Linked DNA regions of Drosophila melanogaster. The protein of the gene in region 2 purifies or fractionates together with the protein of the main gene of each other region. This does not show direct contact. Each region holds a gene or a part of one and is shown on either strand. Other genes may lie near its edges. The genes, in order: chif and CG5790.

Region 1 (5,007 bases), 1.9 Mb from region 2:
TTAGCTGCAGCCAACGGACCCAGAATTAAAGAGAAAAGAAATTGCAGAAAACGCCATTAATTAAAATTTATTTTGAAGAGCTGAGCTACAGTCGAATTTTAACAAATTAAAGCTTTGGCAATATTCTACCAAATTCACAAAGTACAAAATAACTGTATGCTTTATGTAGAGTTAAATTTAATGAAACTTAAGATTTTACCATTGCACTCAAAAATAAATTTAAAAATCAGACCATAAAAATGATTATTTACAAAAAAAAAAAAATTGAACTTAAGTAATATTAATTTCCAACTTATTACATCCAAATACGTTGTACATGTTCTTATAAAATGTTTCAGTAACACAAATATTTAAAAACATTTTATTAAAAACAAGAACCACTCCTATAAAGTTTCCCTCCAATTTTAGTTGGAACAAAGTTATACCAGTCTAAAGCTGTAGTTATAACCATTGATATAATTGGTTTAGTTTTTAATTTTTATTCAAAATTCGACCGTAGCTGGAAATCCAACACCAACCGCGTTTTAAACTTGTTTGCCACGAAAAATGATATAAAAACAAATAAATCACTGTGGGGGAAATCCTACTCCCGGTGGTTCTTCTTCCTCTTGTTCCTTGTACGTTTCCCGATGTGTGTTATGCAATGTTGCATTCGGATACACACAAATCAAATCAATAACTGCACTTGGATGCATTTCGGTATGTATTGCCTAAAAGGCCATCGAGTGTTAAGTGTGAGTTAATTTATTTTAATTCCAAACTAAATGGAACACAGAAACACGACCCAAGCGGGTGGAAGAAGAAGAAGCAGCAGCTGTGCTGCAGCATAGCGCTGCCAGGTCGGGGGGCTACGCTTAGCGAGGCGTTGCCAGCACGCGAAAAAATTAGGGGTGACACAGCTGCAACATAATTGTACTGTATTGTTGCATTTGATTAAAAACCAGTTATATTTACAAAACAGGCACGAAAAAACAAATGTGGAAGAATAGCGATTCAAGAAAAAAAACAGTTGGTGATGACACTTATTCTTAATCACTCATACTAACCTCGGCTTGTATATAAGCTCTATTTAATAAATTGTACTTTCTTTATTTATACTATTATTATTTAATTTTATAAAGTCAACCCTAACAAATATAATTATGCATCTTATCGTTGTATTTCTTGCTAATTTGCGCAATATGGCTTATCACATTCCATTCATATTTGTTGTTTTGGTTTTTTACGTCTCCCAAAAAAACAATGCGAATGAGCTGACAAAGCCATAATGGCCGATGACCGATATTAAACTCATAATGACAATTAGTCCGGCAACCCTGCCGTTCACAGTACTAACACATTCGTAAATACTTGCAAATAAATTGTATGCCTAGCCAATATGCACTGACGCGCGTCAATATATATATAACCTGAAAAACGAGCACATCAGCGCTGCGCTGGCACTTTTTCTGCCCTCGCTTTATATTTGCCATTACAAAACGAAACGTTGGCGCAAAGAGAAACGAAAGAAACCCTAGTGGCAACCCTCAAGCGGTAGCAGTAGCAACAACAACTAAGGAAAAATAAGAAAAAGAGTAGGAGCACACAAGGAGTAAAGCGAAAAATAACACGAAAAACGCACAAAACACAAAAAGAGAGTGGAGGGAAAAAAACAACACACACACACAATTCATACAGTTGCGGTGGAAATTATAGCACTTTCAATTTAAAATAACCGAAATAGACATTTTAATGAGTGTAATGAGTTTTGTGCATTAGGTAAATAAAATATATTCCGTAAGACAATTTTTCTATTAATATTACAAATTCAAATTGCACATCGACATTTCCCTAACGCTTTACCCGCTGCTGTATGCGTACATATGTATGTTTGTGGATAAAATTCATGTGAAGTTGCGGATGAAGCTTACAATGTGGTGGAGGCCGAAACACACGAGCAAACGCAGAAAAGCAGGCCCAGGGCAGCAGCAACAACAACTATGACTAGCAAGCCAAGTACAAAAAACACACAGAACAGTGGGGTCACAAGAGCCGTGTGTTTAGGATTTCCACTGAAATGTATTTATGCCACAGTACGTGAACCTTGCCAAAGCAGTTTTCCTTCGATGTCGGGCCGGCCTTTATTCGATTATTCCTAAATTTTTGGTCCGAATGAATTTTGTTGCTGCAAACCACTGTGCCATGGGTATGTATAGTGTGTTATTCACAATTTCCAAGTAATACTCGTTTTTATATTTTCTTTTTTCCATTGCTCCGTATTTCTGCCTGTGCCGCTGCTCTTTTTCTTGTCTGTGCTTTGTACGCACGTTCGTTTTGGAAATAAAAACAAATTGAAATGGTGACGAATCGTTTGAAATTCAGTTTGAAAAGCCGCAACCAAAAAAAATTGTGCATACAAAATAACAAACCAAAAACAATCCCACACACACACGCACGCACACTTGTACGGATTGCTTACCTTTTAGAAATTCACGGAGTTGCTCGGCTGATATGTTCCTATAGCCCAAATCATTTAGATACTGGAGAATGGCCCGTGCATCTAGTGGCAAATGTGACATTTTACTTTTCGCCAAGTAGAGCAATCGTTCTTGATATTCGTATTGTTAATTATTTTTTGTTTATATTCCACCCTCACACATACACACGCGCGCGCACTCGAGCACATACAAACACACACACGAATGCAAAATCGCCGTTCGTTTGGTTTCTCTTTCTCGTTTGTTTCGTTCGCTTCTTCTTCCTTTTGTTCGTATTCGTCTTCGTGCGCCGACAATCGACCAATTTTCACTGTACTTTTGCTCTGCGTTGGCCGTTTTTGAGTTTATACTTGCATTTACTTGCGTCAAGTTAATCAGTTGCAATGACTAAATATACACAACTGTATGGGAACGATCGGTATAAGCGTCTATATGCCTTCGTTCGCCCGTCGTTCGTTTGCTAACGCCTTTGTTATTTTTATGCCTTTTATCAGGTTTTCGCGGTCGGATGGTCGCCAATTCGATTGTGCACGCACAGTTCGAGTGTCGAAATTGGGCCTTTTCTTATTTTCACATATTTCCTCGCTAGTTTTATAACAATTTTCACCAATTGAAAATAAAGTGTACACGGACAGGGCAGCGCACACACGCTCGGCAACCAAATTTTCGTCGTGTTATCGATAACTATGTTGGCTGGCGATGGTCGATGGTTGCTAAGCGGCGTGACTGAGTCGCGGTCACATATCGTTTTAAGGGAAAAAGTCACGGATTAGCAGTTTTAAAAAAGGTCTAGTTTAATATTGATTCGTTTTTCGTGACGAGAGACATTAATTATTCATTGAATTTATTTATTTCATTTAAAAATATACACTAACGTACTTACAATTTTGTTAACATGAATCTATGATATATACCATAAATTTAAAATTTGTAATTGCGATTTGAAACATCGACAGCGATGGCTATCTTCATGTATCGATAGGCAACGACAGTCCGTCCCTACCAGCAACGCGAAAGGTTTTTGTCTTGCTTTCTTGTTGCTTTGTGTGATTCTCGAGTCTCTGTTCTGCGTCTGCGTCCCGTTCTCGTGCCAACGAACTGATTTCGCCCCGCGTTCGTGCTCAATCGTAAATTCGAAATAAATTAAAAATGTCTCGCAGTTCGTACCTGTTGTGTGTGCTGTTTTTAGGTGAGCGAAAGAGAGGGAGAAGAAATGAAGAAATCGCCTCGCGATCAGATTTTACGGATACGCATCTCGTTATTGCAGGCGCCAGCTGCTTGGTTTTCAGTGCGAGTGCAGCGCGGAACAATCGAAGGGGTTACAAGGCCACGGAACCGCCCACCACCACCCAGCCCCCGCAGACGGCCAAGGAGTATCTGGATAGTCGACCCGGAATCTCCACATTCGGCATCATCGCCATCATCTTCACCGTAATCGTTCTCTGCCTCGTCTTCTACTACGGCATCATTTGCTACCCCTTACTCTGTCGCGATGACAAGAAATATCGGTTTATGGACGTATCTTCAACCATTACTGCCGCCACATCGCGCTCCATTCAATCCATAGAGAACTATCCCGACCAGAAACACCATCATACGTTGGCCTGATTCGGGGTGTGGACACCTGGAGGATAGTGGTTTAGTAGTACTTCAATTTAGTAACGCGAAAAAGACTTAAATGCCAGCCAGAAACGAAAACCCATTAGTATGACTACAGATTTAGGTCCTAAGTTTTAAAAAGAAATATCTCGAATTTTATCTCTATATACCCTTCGCATTACTGGAAAGTAATTACTTTTTTAACATATTCGAAGTTCCGAAATGCTCTGAAAGAATTTTCCCATATTTTGACCGAATTTCGTAACAAAGCAGTACTACACATAGCAATAACCAGTTGAGGAGTTCGCTGGAAAGGGAATTAATCATTCATAATTGTAAATTGGGTTTCCTACGCATCCCCGACTGTTTCTTTATCTGTTGTTTCTCTTAATCCCGGGCTCAACAAGTTTGGCCTGTCCTCTGGCCCTTTTTCCTTGTCCCTCCTGCATCTTTGGCCTTTTTTTATTTCTTTTAATGCAGGTAGTTTTAGCCGTTTACTCACCGCTTTGTTCTCTGTTCATTTTTTTTGTGGGACAGAGCCAAATTGTGGCAATTGAGTCACGTTGCCTGGTTGTTTCTTTCGAAATCCAAGGGAATTTAGCGATCTTTTTTATACCGTCTTCACGCAACCCAATTTGCATTAAGAATCCGAATCGTACTAACAGACGAACTCTTCGTGATGCCTCGAATTTTGCACTACATTTTAAAACGCCGATTCCCGTCCCTTTATATACACAGGTTGTACTTAAATCGAAACCAAGTACTTAATAATTGTACCATGCCAATCATAGTTTAAGCGCCAATCTGCCGCCACGAATACATTTAAGAAATCTTCAGTTTGTGCATTTAGACCAGCATGAGTATCCTTCTATATATTGTGTCAAAAAAAACGTTTTTAGACGTTATATAGCATTAAGTCTATCAAAGTTTA
Region 2 (5,185 bases):
GAAGATTCCCATAACCTTTTTGTGAGCAACAACAAAATAAAGTTTGTTGTAAGCGTCAATAATGCAAATTGATAAGACAAAAGGACAATTTTTCCTCGGTTCAGGCCTTAGAAAAGCCAATCGAGAAAATGGCTGTCGGGTAAAATATTAAATAAAAGAAAACCTGATTGCCATTAGATCATTTGAAGGCAGAAAGAGATTACGACATTCGTAAAATTGAAAGACTACAGAAGATGGCCTTTCAGAATTCAATGATAGATATGGGATCTATATGGCGCTTATCGACAAAAAATCCTCATTTATATATATCAAATAAAAATTATTTTTTAGAATGTCTTTATTTATTTTTTTTAATTTTTAATTGATTTCTATTACCCTTAACAGCATTGATTCCCGTTGTTCTTCATTTTTGAGCAAAACAAACATTAGATAGAAAATGATAAAGTTAAAACGCATAAAAATAATTAAAGAAGAAAGATACCGGAAATGCTAAAGTGCCTCGATTAATTTTGAATAAACATAAATACCATAAATTAACATAAATATACATTTTATTTTTAATGTTAATTTCGGGAACATTTCGCAGCTTCCATATAAAAATTTCGTTTTTTTTTTTTTTTTGGTTTGTGCACAATACAATTTTAGATGCCCACAGGTGGCCGCGGTAAATGCATTCTTCCTCTCAATCTGGTTATAAAGAAGGCAGGATACACACAAAGATAATCGGAGATCAGAGTCAGATGTTACCCGCTGCCTGTGACGCAGTAGAAGTAATTTCCATGGGATAGCATACGAATGCCTTTAGAGTTCGCGCCGCCGACGAAGGAAGTGTCTCTCTGGATCTCTGGAGGTGTTGCTGATGCTGCATTATATGCTGCTGCTGGTGCATTATAAGCTGCTGCTGGTGCAGCGGTATTCCCGGCGTAATGCGATGCTGATCGCTGAAGAACGGATGCTTTAGGGCCTCCTCGGCGGTGATACGCTTTTGGGGATTAACTTCCAGCAGACGGGACAACAAGTCGTAGGCCACTGCGGGAAATATATCCAGCCCATCGTACCTTTCCAAATTATGCCCACTGTTGCTGCACAGGCAATTAAACGTGGGCTGCTCACAGCTGCGGCACATTTCGGTGGTGCCATCGGGCCTTTGATATTTACGTTGTATTTCGGGGGCCAGAAAGAAGTCCGCATGGCGAAATCGCATGCACACCCTCCGTAAATCCAAGGTGTTCACCTTCTGCGCCAGCAAAATCAGCCTATCCAGCAGAAAGGCAGTCTTCCGCACTGGCATATCGCCAAATAGGTTGATTATTTCAGCCAGGGCGCCGCAGTCGTGGGGGGCCTTGAAAAATGGATGAAGACCAGAGAGCAAAGAGAGCATTATAACGCCAGCCGCCCACACGTCCACCGCAGTGGATTGTTTGGGATATCGGAGCAAAACCTCCGGGGGTCTGTATCCTGGGGTTCCAGCCCTTGAAGCGTGCATCTCCTTCTTCGAGGTGTTCGTGGAGACCACGTAGTTGTTGGGATCCGCATTTGGGCTCACGAGTCGCAGGCGGTTCAGCAGCCTCATGGTGTCAGCCCTCTGGTTGGCCACATCCTTTTTGGTCAAATGTCCACCCGCTTGCTCACGTAGTTTCTGTATACTCGGAGGTCCAGTCACAGCACGTTCCACGCTCCCACCGCCACCTAGAGCCCGCATCCTTCGACGGGCCATATAATCCTCAGCCTCGGCTTGGGCTGAATTGCCATCCGTCAACGTCACACTTCTACCATTCTCCAGGTCCCTCAGAATGGAGAATACTTCCCGGGAGCTGAGATCACTCGACTGCACTACACTACCATCATCGGCTATCCTTTGAGCCAATCCGAAATCGCAGAGTAAAAACTTTCCGGTCCTGCGGTTATAAAGAATGTTACTTGGCTTGACGTCCCGATGAATCACATTGAACTTGTGAACGTGTCGCAGCGCAATGAGCAAGTTCCTCAGATAGTCGCGTATCTCTGGGAAATTCAGGCTTCTGTAAATGTCGTGAAAGCGATCGTGGGTCATATAGGGCATGATAAAGGCCACGTTGTCGTTATATCTAATGCAGCAATTAATTCCGATTACATTTTCCACTCCACCAATGCGATACATGCACTCCAACTCTCTAAGAATCCTCTCCGGATGATTTGTGGGATTATGATGTTTGATGGCGAATCTCCTCCTTTGGGTTTCCACGAGACCCCTTTCCCGCTGCAGGGTTCCCAAGAGAACTGTGCTGAAGGTTCCACTGCCGATGCGACAGTGCACATCGAAGATTTTGTTGATTTCCGGAATGCTCTCCTGCAATTCTTTTAGGGCCTCTTCGTTTTTATCAACGGATTGCATATCCTTTGCCTGAATGGTGGATAGCTCCTTATTGGCGTTTTGCCGATTGATTTTTACTAATTTCTCGTTGAGATCGGCAGTGCACTTGGGAGCTTGTTGGAGAAGGAGCTGTTGATGCCTAGAATGATGGTTAGTGCCCGAAACGGAAGGCATAGTTCCGGATGCCATCGGAACGAACCTTTCGTTGTAGAACCGATTTCTGTTATAATTCGTTGAGGAGCTCTTCCCTGCCGATTCTAAATTCGTATTAGCACAATCCATGTTGGTCGCCGACTTTCCCAGAAGACCCATCCCAATGGCGTATAGAGATTTTGTCATCGCCTGTTGACTGCGGTGATGTTGAACTTCTTTCTTGTCCATTTCATTAAGCACATGCGCTAGCCATTTACAGCCCACGGTCTAGACGAATGGTCCCAATAGTTCTTATCTTTCAACTTTGGCCTATAACCGTTTATCTTTAATGCCGATTTCTTGGTCTGTTTCTGGGGCTCAGCGCTATTAAGCTGGTGCGGTAAACCGCGGTATGAACACAATAATTTCGAATGTATTCGGGGGCTTTTATTTCCGAATTTGGTGTTAGAAAAATGATCAGCTACTAAATAAAGACTACGTATTTGTGTTTTTTCCTAATCATTATTTGACAACAAGAGCAAAGCTTTTGCTTTAATGAAATGATTTTTCCAACAACTTTATTGGTGCCTTGAATGGTGCTGCATATTTCGACTAATAAGGGGTCCATTGAGCAGTTGATCAAAGCCTTTCTTCTCCCATGATGTATTTATGGCAACTAACTCTATCACACTACTCAAATTTTCCGCACTCTTTTTGGCTTTGTTGTTATGCAAAATCTATGGCAGATGTGGCTGTTGTTGCGTTTAATTGTCTGCACGGTGTCGCCACCTAGCGGCAACATGCTTGCTTTTGTTTTCAGACGCGTGCAGTTTACCTTCGCAGGAGTGGATCCTGCAAGTGTCCACCCATTTTAGGCAAAGTTTCGCCCGTCTAAAAAAGGGCGGTGTCAACAACAGCTGCCTGTCCACTTGTTTTTCACTTGATGCTCAAAGTTTTCCGCGGCAACAGCTGAAACATTGGGAGCAACTAAGCTATGTCTAAATGTCCTGCTGCTTCATTTCACTCGTTTACAGGGAATTTATTTCAAGCAGAGAGGTATACTTTTTCAACTGTTCATTGGATTTTGCTTTGGGAAATAAGGTGTTCCCTATGAGTAAAGGAAAATATAGTTTATTTATTACTGTTATATAACAATACATTATATTTGCAAGAAATATACATTTCCAAATTTGACATGACTTTTACATGAATATTTAATGGTGCAATGAACTTTTAAAAACTACAAAGACATTTGACATTTTTCAGAATTTCATTACTAATAATGTAATTATCCGGAACTAATTTTGTTGATCTATAAATACCGAAGATCGGTACCTCATTACTAAAAGCAGATCGCTAGATAAAATCATTATGAGTTTGTTGTATCTTATCATTGGTTGTATGTATTTTTAATTAAATAATAATCTAATAAATAATTCGTTTACCTTTCAGCCTTTGTACTAATGGGTACCCCCTGTCCACCTATGGCACCAAGATGCCGTCTTTAAAAAGCAAATTCACAATGGGTCTTGCCGACTAGTATGACTAATTAATTAATATCATATTTGCTCAAGCGCTTTTTTCATCAATTTTTATGCATCTACAGTAATAGGCAGTAGATCTTTTCCTACTGTGTATACACAGCTGATTAAATTTGTGTAAATCAATTGTGGCATTGGCAGTTAAGTTTGCCCTTTTAGAAAGCCATTTGGCTGTCGAAAATATAAATGGGAAATTAATGTGTTCAGTCATTACGAAAGTTTTGAGAACCGAAGAGGCTACATCGCCAGGACCAAAGTAATTGCCCAACAAGGCAAACTGGTTAACTGGCATTTATGTAAGAGCGGGAATTACAATTACCCAATGCTTTCCTTGGCGCTGTTTTCATTTGGATTTTCCCCGCTTTTCGAGCCACGTTCTTCCGGACCCAGGACCTCCTGTTTATTCATTGCCGGCAGTCAAGTGCAACTGGCCTTTTCGAAGTTTGTGCAAAACTATTGTCAATTGCGCCCGGGCCCAATGAGACTTGGAGTTGGCTCCGGGAATTCTTGAATGGCCAAAACACAATGCAGAACAACACTTGGCTGCTTACCCCCCAACCGCCCACAGCTCAATGGAGATTTCAGAGTGGATAGAGATGTGAGTTCCACCACCCACCGACAACGACTTCTTCATCAAGCGAAACTCCCTTTGACCGAATTTCCTTGGCGCCTTCCGTCGTGGCAAGCGCCAAACGGAAACTTTTCCAACCAAGTCAGTTGGGATTAGCCTTGATGGCCACGAGGAGCCGAGTGCGAAGGACTCCTCGCCAGCTCGGGTTCCAGGTTAGACACTCGTTTGGTGGCAAACTGCAAATTAAGCTCGACAAAACGATTTGCTTAGATTGCCGTGTACAAATAGGTTGGCCCGAAACGCTTGTTGCAAATGCCTTGGTAATGAGGCATGAGGTATACAAAGTTAGATTTAATTTTTTAGGATAAGCAATGCAAGGACTTCTTACATTTCCTTTGGCCTTTACAATTAACTACAATACCAGAAATTAGAAATCAGAATATCATCTATAAATTTGACTTCAATATTAGCTGCTTTGTTTTATTGCTTTGTTTAATTTTGATTTTTTGTTGCTTTCAGAAACTAACAGATTTTACATTATTATTTTATTTTATTTTACATTATTAATATAGTTAATCGTCATTTATA

Evidence for each region.
Region 1: the proteins of CG5790 (region 2) and chif purify together in Drosophila melanogaster (affinity purification with western blotting, with the first as the bait; one study listed by BioGRID). This does not show direct contact.

What each region holds. Positions count from the first base shown.
Region 1 is NT_033779.5:16,349,469-16,354,475, forward strand, and holds the start of chif (chiffon), read right to left. Parts: upstream 3,161-5,007; 5' UTR 2,559-3,160; coding exon of another isoform or gene 2,459-2,558; intron 816-2,458; exon of another isoform or gene 519-815; intron 5-518; 5' UTR 1-4. Other genes in the region: Hyls1 centriolar and ciliogenesis associated, read right to left, coding at 2,459-2,558; CG4455 (uncharacterized protein), read left to right, coding at 3,627-3,666, 3,745-4,085. UniProt on the Drosophila melanogaster protein: A bicistronic gene producing two proteins that are components of different complexes and have separate properties and functions.
Region 2 is NT_033779.5:18,292,698-18,297,882, reverse strand, and holds CG5790 (uncharacterized protein), read right to left. Parts: upstream 3,044-5,185; 5' UTR 2,735-3,043; coding exon 737-2,734; 3' UTR 536-736; downstream 1-535. Other genes in the region: Sfp36F (seminal fluid protein 36F), read right to left, coding at 5,170-5,185. UniProt on the Drosophila melanogaster protein: Probable serine/threonine protein kinase that forms a complex with the N-terminal peptide of the chiffon protein and may be involved in regulating meiotic processes in the male testis.